Linked DNA regions of Tribolium castaneum. Each later gene encodes a partner of the first gene's protein in a complex. Links are inferred from orthologs where the notes say so. Each region holds a gene or a part of one and is shown on either strand. Other genes may lie near its edges.

What was found. The genes of interacting proteins can lie anywhere in the genome.
Region 2: Arp3 (region 1) and Arpc4 share a complex: the UniProt entries of both Caenorhabditis elegans proteins name them as parts of the arp2/3 complex. The link is inferred for Tribolium castaneum from reciprocal best matches to the Caenorhabditis elegans genes arx-1 and arx-6.
Region 3: Arp3 (region 1) and Arpc2 share a complex: the UniProt entries of both Caenorhabditis elegans proteins name them as parts of the arp2/3 complex. The link is inferred for Tribolium castaneum from reciprocal best matches to the Caenorhabditis elegans genes arx-1 and arx-4.
Region 4: Arp3 (region 1) and actin-related protein 2/3 complex subunit 3-B share a complex: the UniProt entries of both Caenorhabditis elegans proteins name them as parts of the arp2/3 complex. The link is inferred for Tribolium castaneum from reciprocal best matches to the Caenorhabditis elegans genes arx-1 and arx-5.

What each region holds. Positions count from the first base shown.
Region 1 is NC_087394.1:30,789,615-30,793,714, forward strand, and holds the start of Arp3 (actin-related protein 3), read left to right. Parts: upstream 1-1,300; 5' UTR 1,301-1,482; coding exon 1,483-1,526; intron 1,527-1,582; coding exon 1,583-1,763; intron 1,764-1,814; coding exon 1,815-2,129; intron 2,130-3,674; coding exon 3,675-4,100. UniProt on the Caenorhabditis elegans protein: Functions as ATP-binding component of the Arp2/3 complex which is involved in regulation of actin polymerization and together with an activating nucleation-promoting factor (NPF) mediates the formation of branched actin networks.
Region 2 is NC_087401.1:12,843,790-12,846,205, reverse strand, and holds Arpc4 (actin-related protein 2/3 complex subunit 4), read left to right. Parts: upstream 1-1,409; coding exon 1,410-1,916; downstream 1,917-2,416. Other genes in the region: ND-23 (NADH:ubiquinone reductase 23kD subunit), read right to left, coding at 975-1,097, 1,189-1,228. UniProt on the Caenorhabditis elegans protein: Functions as actin-binding component of the Arp2/3 complex which is involved in regulation of actin polymerization and together with an activating nucleation-promoting factor (NPF) mediates the formation of branched actin networks.
Region 3 is NC_087399.1:3,469,734-3,473,921, reverse strand, and holds Arpc2 (probable actin-related protein 2/3 complex subunit 2), read left to right. Parts: upstream 1-1,388; 5' UTR 1,389-1,498; coding exon 1,499-1,572; intron 1,573-1,723; coding exon 1,724-1,817; intron 1,818-1,861; coding exon 1,862-2,571; intron 2,572-3,218; coding exon 3,219-3,246; 3' UTR 3,247-3,864; downstream 3,865-4,188. UniProt on the Caenorhabditis elegans protein: Functions as actin-binding component of the Arp2/3 complex which is involved in regulation of actin polymerization and together with an activating nucleation-promoting factor (NPF) mediates the formation of branched actin networks.
Region 4 is NC_087401.1:15,949,768-15,952,371, forward strand, and holds actin-related protein 2/3 complex subunit 3-B, read right to left. Parts: upstream 1,329-2,604; 5' UTR 1,194-1,328; coding exon 1,188-1,193; intron 1,137-1,187; coding exon 954-1,136; intron 910-953; coding exon 559-909; 3' UTR 501-558; downstream 1-500. Other genes in the region: GPN-loop GTPase 3, read left to right, coding at 1,463-1,507, 1,554-2,330. UniProt on the Caenorhabditis elegans protein: Functions as a component of the Arp2/3 complex which is involved in regulation of actin polymerization and together with an activating nucleation-promoting factor (NPF) mediates the formation of branched actin networks.

The DNA of each region.
Region 1 (4,100 bases):
AGGTCGCGGTCACGGTTACCTTGTCTGTGTAGCAAGATCACTGTCTTCAAATTAAATATAAAAAACTTTTATTGCATAAGTAAATTGGTAGTCAAAAACTTTGACTTAGCAGGTGGCTAGGTGTAACATTTTCAATAAATCTTTTTGCATTTTGAATTTTCTTGTTCTTGTCTCGACAGATTCACTTGTATGCAGAATATTTTGCAATTTACATTTTAGTCGGATTTATAACTCATTATGAAATCAAGATTTAATTTAAAATTAAAATTTTGAGCTACACCTGACTCAAAATATTTATATTCATTAGATTGTTCATATGCATAGTACCTGTTATATAGTTCTATTGTTTAATGTTCTTACAATTAGTGCACTTACTAAAGACCTATAACCAAGGGCAAAAAGCTCAAATACTTAAGGATATGTAAAATATCTAAATATCTTCGCTTGAAAAATAAAAAAATCGTCACAAAAAATAAAAGTAACTGTAAAAATGATAAATCGATCAACCTAATTTTAAAATTTTTCTCTTATTTTTTTATAAGAACAGCTGCCCATAAACACACAAATCTATGCGTTTGGAACGCAGTTCAAACATGCGGTTTTATCGTTTTACCGTTGTTGTCTACTAACACAAAATAAGTCTTCCAAATTAATTTATCCTATGCAAATCCAGATCTTGACTTGACGAAAGTTTTGTACCAAAAGACTACATTTGTTTTCTAGTGTTTTTCTTTAATTTTTTTCGAAAGTGTCTACCTAAATTTTGTATTTTTGCTTTAAGACAATATAATTTTTTTTAATTTTTTTGTGTTCTCTTTACTTTTGATATTGTCGTGTGATTGTCATTGCAATTCCCGGACCAGGAATCACAATTTTCTGACACAAAATGTAATGTTTTTCTGAATGACTTATTAAATTTTTTTATAGAGGAGAAAAAATAGTACCTATACTTATATTATTCGGAGTATAGGCGCTTTATGTGCTTCGGATAATTGAGACAAATTCATCTATCAGCTTCAGCACAAAAAATATGTTATACCCCTGATACAGTTTGGACTTTTTAGCAGAAAAAAAGATTTTCAAAAAGATTGGTTTATTTGAAAAAAAAGATACGTTGCTTACATATAAGGCTCATTATTCCACATTAATGAATAATAATTATTGAGTAACTTATACCACTCTTTTGTGGTGAATAATGACGGCAAACAAAACTTTTAAAACGGGGATTTTTAAAATGTATTAAAAAAATGTTTAATATAGATAACCAACAATACACTTTATGAAATTAGGATAGGTCTTGCGCAGTTGTACCACCCGGGAGGTGCGGTTTGTCCTCCCGATGAGTGTGTTTGGTTTATGATAGTGATTGAAAAACTGTCATTTATCATATTCAAAGGTGTGGTTTTTATTTCATTTCCTCGGCCAAACAGTAAATTCCTTTCCAAATTGCCTGTTATTTTTTATTAACACATAATAGTCAATATGACTGGGAGGTTACCAGCTTGTGTTATCGACGTCGGCACAGGGTACGTCCACTCATAACCAAACTTTTTGCAACATTAACAACTTCCCTAATTTCCAGTTACACCAAATTAGGCTTCGCCAATAATAAAGAACCACAATTTATAATACCCTCCGCTATAGCAATAAAAGAAACCGCCAAAGTCGGCGATCAATCCAGTCGAAGACTGTGCAAAGGTGTTGAAGATTTAGATTTCTTTATAGGCGATGAAGCCTTCGACGCTACCGGATATGCAGTCAAAGTAAAGCGGTTTCTTGCCTTTTAATCTCACTTAAACGACTTGTTTTTCAAGTATCCTGTTCGCCATGGGTTAGTGGAGGATTGGGATTTGATGGAAAGGTTTCTAGAGCAGTGTATTTTTAAATACCTGCGAGCCGAACCGGAAGATCACTACTTCTTATTGACTGAACCACCATTGAACACCCCCGAAAATAGGGAATATACAGCCGAAATTATGTTTGAATCGTTCAATGTACCTGGCTTATATATTGCTGTGCAAGCTGTCTTAGCTTTAGCGGCCAGTTGGGTTGGCCGCAGTATCGAAGAAAGAACTCTTACAGGCATCGTCATCGACAGTGGAGACGGTGTCACACACGTTATTCCAGTGGTAAAAATATGATTCCGTATTTTAAACACATTTTTTCTTAATAGAGAATGATTGAGTCAGAAAAACAACCAATGTTACTCTCTTGCTTTTAGTGACACTTTTAGATCAGATCTAATAGTTTTCTGAATCTTTATTACTTTTACACATGGAGTATTTTTTAAAACGTTTAAAAAACTAAAATAGAACACAAATTTTGTCTGATTTTCTAATTTTGAGTATTATAAACTTTGAATAAGTTTTTAAAAAATAAATACGAACATTTGGAACAGTTTCATTAGGAAATGTTTTCATGTGAGCACCATACATGGGGCAGGTTTAGAGATCATTTAATTGCAATAAAATTTTAACTTGTGACATTGCCATTTTTTTGTTAATACAATGAAAATTTTATTCCAATTAGCACCAAACCTTAACTAAATTTTAATTCTCCTTCTGTACACCAGGCCTTAGGTCGAGTTGTATAAACTCTAGTATAAATTAAGTAAATCAGGATTATACAACTCGACCTTGAGTAACAGAATATGTCTACAACAGTTTATTCACAATGCTGTGGACAATATGGATACGTAAAGTACCAAACAATTTTCTATCGAAGAAAACAACGATTTGAACACCGATTTAGAGGAAAAACACATAATTTCGGCCAATTTTTTGCCCTAAAATGGCAAAATCAGTTGCAGAATTCCTTCAATAGTTAGTAACTGGCTCAAAACGCAGAATTGAACATTTTTTTTAATTAGTTGAATTTAGACGGTTTTTTGCTCGAAAATGTGAAATGTGAAGCTTGAAGTCTCTTTATTCTGACCCCAAACCATTTGGACACCAGTTTAAGTAAAAATCTTTGGTTTTTGACGATTCTTTGTTTAAAAACAATAAAACTTTCGTAGAGAGTCTTTGAAAGTACGGTTTATGCTCCATTTTGAATAAATAAAACGCACCATTTTGTACAGTTTCTTGCTTAAAAACGAGAAAACTTGCATAGAAAAGGCTAAAAATGGTTTATTCTAGTCGGAAACAACGGTTTATTAACCAATTTGCATAAAAACGGTCAGAATAAGCTGTTTTCAGCCACTTTTGTCAGATAAAATACACCGAGGGGTTGAAATTTTCTACAGTAGCAGAACGCTATATCGACGACTCAGTTGCTCAAAAAATAGCTACGTCAAGAAAAAAATTGGCAGATGAAAATTCTTATAAAAGGCCTAGAACTTTTACTGTACTTAAACCTAACGAAAGTAGAGTCAACTTTGTTGCTTTAATCATCATCGACTTAGTAATAGTACAATTAACATTTACCTAAAGAAATAACTTTGTGGAAAATTGAAAAAAATTGACACGTGAATAAAAAATTCTTATGCATTCAAAAACTATTTTTCTTGGATAAAATAAATAAATATGGGTTTACGTGTGATGATGAGCTTCTTCCCTTTGTTATTAATGCCACAATGAAAATATATGGTAAAATTCTAGACTCGTCTTTTCTTATTCTTAATTATTTAGCAATATTTTTTATTAAGATTGTTAATAATTAGATTGAACTTTTAGGCCGAAGGCTATGTTATCGGTAGTTGTATCAAACACATTCCCATCGCCGGTCGCAACATCACCTACTTCATCCAGTCGCTTCTCCGCGAGCGCGAAATCGGCATCCCCCCCGAGCAGTCCCTCGAAACCGCCAAAGCGATCAAAGAACGCCACTGCTACATTTGCCCCGACATCGCAAAGGAGTTTGCGAAATACGACGCAGACCCGGCCAAATGGATGAAAAAATACGAGGGGATGAACTCGGTTACCAAACAGCCTTTCAGCGTGGACGTCGGCTACGAGAGGTTCCTGGGACCAGAGATTTTCTTTCATCCCGAATTTTCCAACCCAGACTTCACCATCCCGCTGTCCCAGATCGTGGACGACGTTATCCAAAACTGCCCCATTGATGTGCGGAGGCCCATGTACAATAATATCGTTCTGTCG
Region 2 (2,416 bases), on another chromosome or scaffold:
AAAGTTTACTGAAAAACTTAGTAAAATTGACAAATTCCTTATTATGAAAAAGTAATAACATTATATAATTATGGTCAACATATTTTTAACATGTTTTGTCTTGATGTTTAACAGTTTTGTGACTAGGATATTAATTATAAGTTATAACTTATAACCTTTTTAACCTTAATCGTACCTAATTGCCATGTCAGTATTTTGATTTTTTATTAATAATTGTAAGTAAAGTATCAATATATAACAAATGTTCATTACAAAAAAAAAACTAGAGTGCTGTGAAATTAAAAAATAATTGTTTTGTGATTAATTCATTCTCCCATAAACTTACTTTTTGGAAATTAAAAATATAACAGATGTTCATAAAAGTTAATATTATTCATAAAAAATGTCGGAAATGTCTTTTTTGTTGTTCAAAACATAACACATAGCCTTTGAAGACTATTTATGAATCTTGGGTTATAAATTCTATTGAGCTGGTTTAGTAGGCAACCAACAATATAATGGAAAAATTGTACTACGACATCCGTAAAAATGTCAAGGCAGAAAGATAACAGAGTTAGTAATTAATTGCTGTTATATTGTTTTTTTTTTTTTATTTTTTAGCCTAATGATGTTTATTATATAAACGAAACGTTGCAACTCGTTGATTTATTTAAAACTTTTTAAGGAAAAAATTTCAAATTTTGCGTTCACGCGTTCAGAGATCTCAGTACAGTTTATCCTTAATACCAAGCATCTCTGCTTAGCATTTATAATATTTTATTTAAAAGATGACTATTATTTACCTAGCAGTTTATTATTATCAAAAATCAAAACGCCTGTGAATTATGCAACCAACAATACAAACGCCACTAGTCCACTACTACTAAAAACTTATTTAATGTCGAAAAACGAACATTATGACTACAATACCGAAAACAATTCAATACCAAACATCCAAAAATTATGTTTTTCCCCCCAATTAAAGTTTCACTTACCGGTTACTTCGTTCAAACTCATGCCAGGCTCGCCCGGATTTACGTTGATGTAGTCGCCTTTCGACGTGCTTTTTAAGCGGTTTTGCCCACATGCTCGCAGGAAAATCGAGGGGCGACCTGAGACTGTTATGAAACCAAATTGAGGTTATGTCGTTCGACACAAAAAAACCGAACGCAAAACAACGAAAACACAAACCCGGCAGTAGCTACGTACCTGATCTACTCAGACTGTACAATTTAAGGGCCCCGGACATGTTTTTGATTGTTTTTTTCGAAATTAAAGCAACTTTTTTGACATTACGCACCTTACGTCAATGTCAAAATCGCTGCGCCATCTGGCGGATAATAATTTGTGTTGACAAATTGACAATTGTATGTCAGAGAGGTGTGGTGTTATCACTGTTATCAGTCGTAATTTTGCTCAAAAAAGCGGTAATGTCGGCGACGCTACGGCCCTACTTAACGGCGGTGCGGCACACCTTAACGGCCGCCATGTGCCTGGAGAACTTCTCCTCCCAGGTGGTGGAAAGGCACAACAAGCCGGAGGTTGAGGTTAGGTCCAGTAAGGAGCTGCTGTTGACTCCCGTCGTGATCTCGCGCAACGAGAAGGAAAAGGTGTTCATAGAGACGTCAGTGAACTCGGTCCGTATCAGTATAGCCGTGAAACAAGCGGACGAAATCGAGAAAATCCTCTGCAAGAAGTTCATGCGGTTTATGATGATGAGGGCGGAGAATTTCGTGGTTTTGCGGCGGAAGCCCATCGAGGGCTACGATATTAGCTTCCTGATTACGAATTTCCACACGGAGCAGATGTACAAACATAAGTTGGTCGATTTTGTGATTCATTTCATGGAGGAAATTGATAAAGAAGTGTCGGAAATGAAGTTGGCGGTGAATGCGAGGGCTCGAATAGTTTCGGAGGAGTTTTTGAAGAGGTTTTGAGGAGAGCGAGAGTGGACATGTGTACATAAGTTCTAGGTTTATCCAGCAGGAAGATTTATTTATTCCTAATTTCAAATACGAATTCTATTTTTACTTATTATATTGTTTCGCCAATAAATCGATCATTTTATTAAGAAAAATGTTTTTTTGTTGTTTGGACCACTGGGTCACTGGTACTACCAACCTCGAACACGAAAAACACCAAAGCCAATTTGGGGGCATTTCAGATAAAGCGTCCAATTAAGCAATAAATAATAAAATATATAAAATGAAGCTTTATATACTTATGAAAAATTCACTGTTCTTTTTAACTCTGAAATCGGATTCAAAATTTGATTTTTTAGTGTAGAAAGCCGGAAGTGAAATTTCAAATCAGAATTTCAGTAACTTGGACTTTTTTTTCAAAAAAAATAGCTGAAAGTAAATAGATTAAACACATAAGTGGCAAAATAGGATCTCTATTCCTTTAGGAGTACGTAATGTTCACAAAAGCGCGTTAT
Region 3 (4,188 bases), on another chromosome or scaffold:
AAATTTTAAATTGTGTGAAAAATTACTATAATAGAGAAAAAAAGCCTCTGTATCCAATGGAACAAACCGCACTGCTCTACGACTTTTAGTTTTCGAGTTATGAATTTTTTTAATGAAAAAAATTTTTCACTATGACAAATGGCTACCCTAAATTTAGGCAAAAAATTTTAAATTTTTAATTCTTGTGAAAAATTGATATAATATGTAAAATGAGCCGTAGAATTCAATCGAACAAACCGCAATGCTCTACGACTTTTAGTTTTTTTTTTATGAATTTTTTTAGTGAAAAACTTTGATCGCCTCTGTAGCCGGAACCGTTGCCCGGAGAGGCTCCGGGTTTGGTCGAAAAAATAGATAAAATTACGCGCTATTAGATGGTTTTTTGTTCGTTGCTCTAGGTCTTACAGTTTCCGAGAAAAACGCAAAAAAAGGTTTTCATTTTCACTTTTTTTCAATTTTCAATCGCCAATTACGACGAAACTATTAAAGATATCGAGAAACGGAAAAATGAAGGATAACCGGAATAAAAAACTCTACAAAATGGCATAGGACTTAAGGCGATATCTCGCAATAAAATTTTCAATTTTCAAACGCCGATTACGGCCAAACTAAAAGAGCTAGAAGAAAACGGTTTGTTCCATTGTAAAGAGCACATCAAAATCTATAAGATAAAATAGGTTTTATTTGATTTTGAGACACTTTAAAAATTGACCGATTTTAAGGGGGGGGTGTTAACTTTTTTTTAATTTTTTTTATTTTTTTATTTACTACTAAACTATTCCAAAAAGTGGAAGTTTTTTGATCCATACCTATGCAAAATGATCCGGGGAATCGATTGGCATCGAGAAAATTGCCAAATTCCCAATAGTTTTTTAGTTATGAATTTTTAAAAATTTTACCAATTTTTGCATTTAGCAGCAATTTGCTCGAAAACTATTAGTCGGAGAACAATAATCTTTTTTGAAAAAAATAGATAATTTAAAGAGCTTTCCAACGATGGGACACTTCATAGAGTTATCTCTAATAGTTCCGGAGCTATTGCTCGAGAAATGTTCCGGGTACCCAAAACCGACAAAAACTGCGACGAAAATTGAAAAAATCAAACATCAAAAAAAAGAACATTTGGACTTTTTGTGGACTTTTAACAACTTTTGTGGGTTGTTAAGACATGTAGAAGTCCATAAAAATTTGCTGGAGTGATTTAAAAAATTTTTTTTTTATTTTTGTGAAGATAACTACTCAAATTTTAAGCAAAAAATTTCAAAATTTTTAACCTTGCAAAAAACAGGTATAAAACGTGAAATAATGTGTCGCAGAATTCACTGGACCAAGTATTTTATTTAAGTTTGGCGCTCTGTTTAAGCGACAGACCTACTAACTTACCGACCCAGTAAATGCCAGTTGACAGACAGACAGTCAGCCACAGCACCTCCCATGAGCAGTCAGACCTAGTAAATGTATTTTTTTAGTTAAAAACCACAATTCCCAATCATTTAAAATGATTTTGCTTGAGACAAACAATCGGGTAGTTGAAGAGACATTAACCGTGAAGATAAAAAGTGCCCAAGCCGGGTAAGTCCCTTATTTACATTAAAAAACCGACCGGTAGTTTCGGGGTGAGGCTTTTATCGCCAAATTCAGGCGCAACTTTATCACCAGCATTATCTAAACTCGGCTCACAAGGAAAATCTCCCAAACCATTGAAACCAGCCTATCTTTCCAGGTTAAAAAACGAGTCAATCGACATAACAGTATCGGACTTCGACGGTGTTTTGTACCACATTTCAAACCTAAACGGAGACAAAACCAAAATTAGGGTAAGCCCACCCCCGAGTAACCCCACATAAGCGCCCCATTCCAGATAAGCATTTCCCTCAAATTCTACAAAGAACTGCAAGAGCACGGCGCCGACCAGCTCCTCAAGCGCGAGTACGGCCCCCTTCTGGCCGCCCCTGAAGACGGCTACAACGTTTCGATCCTATTCGACCTTGAGAACATCCCGACTGATTGGCCCCAAGTCATCAAAAAAATCGGGCTTTTGAAGCGCAACTGCTTCGCTTCAGTGTTTGAGAAATACTTCGATTTTCAAGAAAACGGAGACGAGGGACAGAAACGTGCGGTGATTCACTACCGCGATGACGAAACAATGTACGTTGAGGCGAAGGCGGACCGAGTCACCGTCGTCTTTTCCACGCGTTTTCGGGACGAAGACGACGTGGTCATCGGGAAGGTGTTCATGCAGGAGCTCAAGGAGGGGCTCAGGGCGTCGCACACGGCGCCCCCCGTGCTCTTCAGCCACCGGGAGCCCCCCCGGGAGCTCCAGAACACCGACGCGAAGGTCGATAACAACGTGGGGTACGTCACTTTTGTCCTGTTCCCGAGACACACGGCAAGGACCACGAGGGACAACACAATAGATTTAATTCACATGTTTCGCCATTATCTACATTATCACATCAAATGCTCCAAGGCCTACATTCACAGTCGGATGAGGGCCAAGACGTCCGATTTCCTCAAGGTCCTGAACAGGGCCAGGCCGGAGAACAAGTCGACAGATAAGAAAACTATAACGTACGTCTTTTTGCTTTTTTAACAACTTATTAGGAGACGAAACGAAGTACAAAATCACAGGGTTTTTTCTCATATTTTTGCGTACGCTGCGAATACGGTTGAAGATACAAAAAAAGTGTAAGGAACAAAGTTGTAGAGAATTAAATTTCCTACAAAAAAGTCCGCGATACCATATTTCTATCTTTAACGGTTTAGCTATAAATTAACTCTCCGATACTTGGCAACCGGTAAAATGAAACAAATCCGTCGCTTGAGCGTCTTTGGACCACTTTGGGGCCAAAATGGTTGAAGATATGGATATGGTCTCGCGGACTTTTTTTTAGCAAATTCAATTCTCTACAACTTTCTTCCTTACACTTTTTTTGTATCTTCAACCGTATTCGCACCGTTTTGAAAAATATGGGGGAGTGCAAATTGGTAAAAGTTTGACATTTTTTTAATTACAGTTTACGATAAATTTTGCTTATGTTGAGAATTTAATGCTTCATCTGTCTGTATTTTTTGTTTTACTAACATAACCAAGGAACAACTGCGCTCTCTGGCGACACTGACGGAACTATCGAGAACGGAGCGTTTTATTTGTACGTCGTTTCGTATCCTAACTTTTAGACATCCGTATCATAATTTAATTGATTGATTTGTTACAGAGGGAGAACTTTCGTTCGACGGGATTGATGTGTATAGTACTAGTGAACTTTGCTTGTAAGATCAGCTCAAAAAAGGACTAATAACTGCCGACAATTTATTAAACTTAACTGTTTCATTCAATTTTCCCATCAGTCAGTTCTTGCACAGCCTCTCTTGCAGTTTATTTATTAAGTCAATCAATTGGTTCATTCAGTACTGAATGCTACAGTTCAGTTAATAGAAGTGCTGATTTTTCAGCTACTTGTGTACATAGATTCAATCTTTTAACCATGTGCTTCCTTTGAAATATGGGTAAGCACATCAATATTGTGAATTATATATTTCTAATACAAAGTTTAATTACATATTTTTTACCCAGTTTGCGAGACGTGTTTTAGGTTTTTTACTATGTATCCGCTTGTTGTTATCATTTTGATTCGGAACGATCCTTTTTACTATTGAGAACTTGAACCGCCAAATAAATTGTATAACTTAACATAGTTTAATAGGTAATAAATGAATCGTCAATTTCTATAGCAGGTTGCAATATTTTCGGATTTCTGTAGGCAATTGGACGCATTCTTCATGCTCATTTCATTTTTATATTACATTAACAGAGCAAGACACTGTTTAATTCAATAATAGAAAATAAAATGTTATTTTAAAGTCTGTGTATCATTTTTTTACCAACTCGAAAACGTGTGGCGACACTTGATTGAACTTTATTAAGCCAGGATGGCCAACTCAAGCAGTCATTTTGGATGACTTGCTACTAACGCGAAATTCCTATTATTTTAAATTATTAAAGGAATTTCAAAAGACTGTATTGAGAGTATCAATAATTGGGTGGGAGCAGCAAACACGCACAATTTTATTTGTAATTTTATTAATCATTTTCGTGCGTTACAGATTCTACAGTAGCGAATTTCTCGCCTGAGACTGACAATAAACCTAACCCTACAATTCCACATTTTTTATTATTCACCGTTA
Region 4 (2,604 bases), on another chromosome or scaffold:
AATTTCTTAAAAAATAAGCTAATAAATCTGAGTTATGTCTAAAATGACAGTGTAAGGAACTTGGGTAATGGAACAACTGCGCTCTCTAGCGTCTTTAACGGAACTAACGAAGATGGGAACGTTTTATTTGTACGTCGTTCCGTCTCCTAACCTTTAGACAACCGTTGTATTAGTCCTTAGACATCACTCGATTTTTTTTTATTGAGAAGTCTTTTTGTACAAAACTTAAGAAAAATTAACGTTTTTTGCCTATTTAGAATAATTTCGGTCGTTTTTGAGCCGAAAAATTGTGTAATTAATTAAAGAGAAAGCGAAAAAAATTAAAAAAAAATCAGCGACTTTCGCGAGGCGCCTCTGCTTTAATGAGCCTCTTATCACTGAATTTCAAGATTGTTGTGTCCCCCGAACGGCATCCGGATTAAAGGTCTGTATGGGCGTTCCATGCGATAATGTATCACATATCATTCACAAACCGCGTGAAAACAAACCAAACACAACAATAAAAAAAAATGGTTTATTAATACAATACAGAATCAAATAATTAAAAAATTGGCAAATTCATTGTCCCGGCCCTGAGAGCGACTTATCCATGAACTTCTTTTTGGCAAAACACAGCCACCATTTACTCGGCTTCCCGTCCTCCCCAAAGACCCGATCGACGACCCGCAGCCCCACTTCCTGCCTCAACTGGGTTAAGTACGCCCTCAGGAACTCAGCATCGGCGGGCGACTTCGCCTTACTATACACCGAATTCAGGGGAAACCCTGGATCCCCCGGGATATCAAACCGGGAAATGGCCAAAGTGTACATCTCATTCTGGCCCTGGTTGCGGTTCGCACACCTTTGCAGTTTTTTGAGACACTCGGTAATGTACAGGGTGATGTAAATCAACAAACGGTCGGCCTCCGACTGAAAAGGGCGTTTTTGTGCCGATTGTCACAAGTGGGGCTCACCTTGATCTCATAAGTGCGGAAAAAAACATTGGCCTTGAAGTAATAAAGCGCCTCGTCTATGATATCCTGGTCGCCGGGTTGCCCCCCAAATGGGGGCGCTGGCCCCCGAAATTGTGTTTTAAACGGCAAAATGGCAGTGTTACCGACCGATTGTTGGTGCTCCAAAAACGCCGAATGGTACGCCTGAAACCACAAATCACACCAAACGGCACACAAGGGGGCTATCAAACGCACCGGCATGGTTTTTCCACAGAAATTTCACCAAACCTCCCAGATTAGTCACGTCGGTAATGCAGAACACTGCCACAATGTATGAACACTAGGGCCCCAAAACCCCCACTTAAACGGGCAAGAGCCCCACAAAATCGCACTTTTGGTAAAAAAACACACAAAAACACCGGTTTTGGGCGAAAAACGCCACTTTTGGGTCACAACACAACCTCACTTATTGCATGGTGGTAACACTGGTCGTTACCTAACCTAATTTTTTGCGTTTGTTTTTTGTAAAAATGCGGTACGCGCAGCTAGTTATTGGCCCCGCGGGCAGTGGCAAGGTAATTATTTGTTATTGTAGCACAATTTGGCTAATTTAATTGTTAGTCGACGTATTGTTCGGCTTTGGTGCAACACGCAGTCGACGCAAAACGCACCATAGAAGTGGTAAATTTGGACCCAGCGGCCGAACACTTCGACTACGAGCCACGTGCCGACATCCGCGAGTTAATCCACGTGCAGGACACCATGGAGGACGAAGAGTTGCACTTTGGCCCCAACGGGGGGCTTGTCTTTTGCCTGGAGTACCTGCTGGAGAACTCCGACTGGTTGCGAGACAAGTTGGGGGAGGAGGAGGACGATTATATTTTGTTTGACTGTCCGGGTCAAATCGAACTATACACGCACTTAACAGCTATGAAAAAATTAGTCAAGTTGTTACAAGACTGGAATTTTAATATTTGTAGTATTTTTTTGGTGGACGTTCAGTTTATGACAGACGGGGCCAAGTTTTTGTCGGGCACCATGGCTGCACTCAGTGTCATGGTTAATTTAGAGCTGCCTCATGTGAATTTGTTGTCGAAAATGGATTTGTTGAGCAAGGGGGCGCGCAAGCGCCTCGATAGGTTCCTCGAGCCTGATTCGCATGCCATTCTGGGGGATATTGAGTTAAGTGGCATGAATGCCTTCAATGAGAAATACAAAAAATTGTCTGAAGCCATAGGGGATTTAATTGAGAATTATTCCCTAGTCAGGTTTTTCCCCCTCAATTTGAAAAACCACGAAAGTGTGAGTGACATTTTGGTGACCATTGACAACGTGATACAGTATGGCGAGGATCAGGACGTCAGGACACGTGATTTCGAGGAACAGGACGACGAATAAAATTCCCTAGAGTGTTTATTCCAATTTATACTTTTTTTTATATAAAACAATAACACAAAATACTAAACTAAACCTACTTTTCTATCGGTTTTTATTCCTCTTAAAGCAACCTATACGATAAAAAAGGTACACGTGGATGAGACTTAAACTTAAAAAAATCACAAGTTATTTACAAACCGCCGAATTCGTTCAATTGCACAAAAAGTAGGAAAAGTGAAGTAGTTAAGTCATGTAAGTAGGAGTTATCACAGAAAAAGAATTTGTTCCTTCGTTT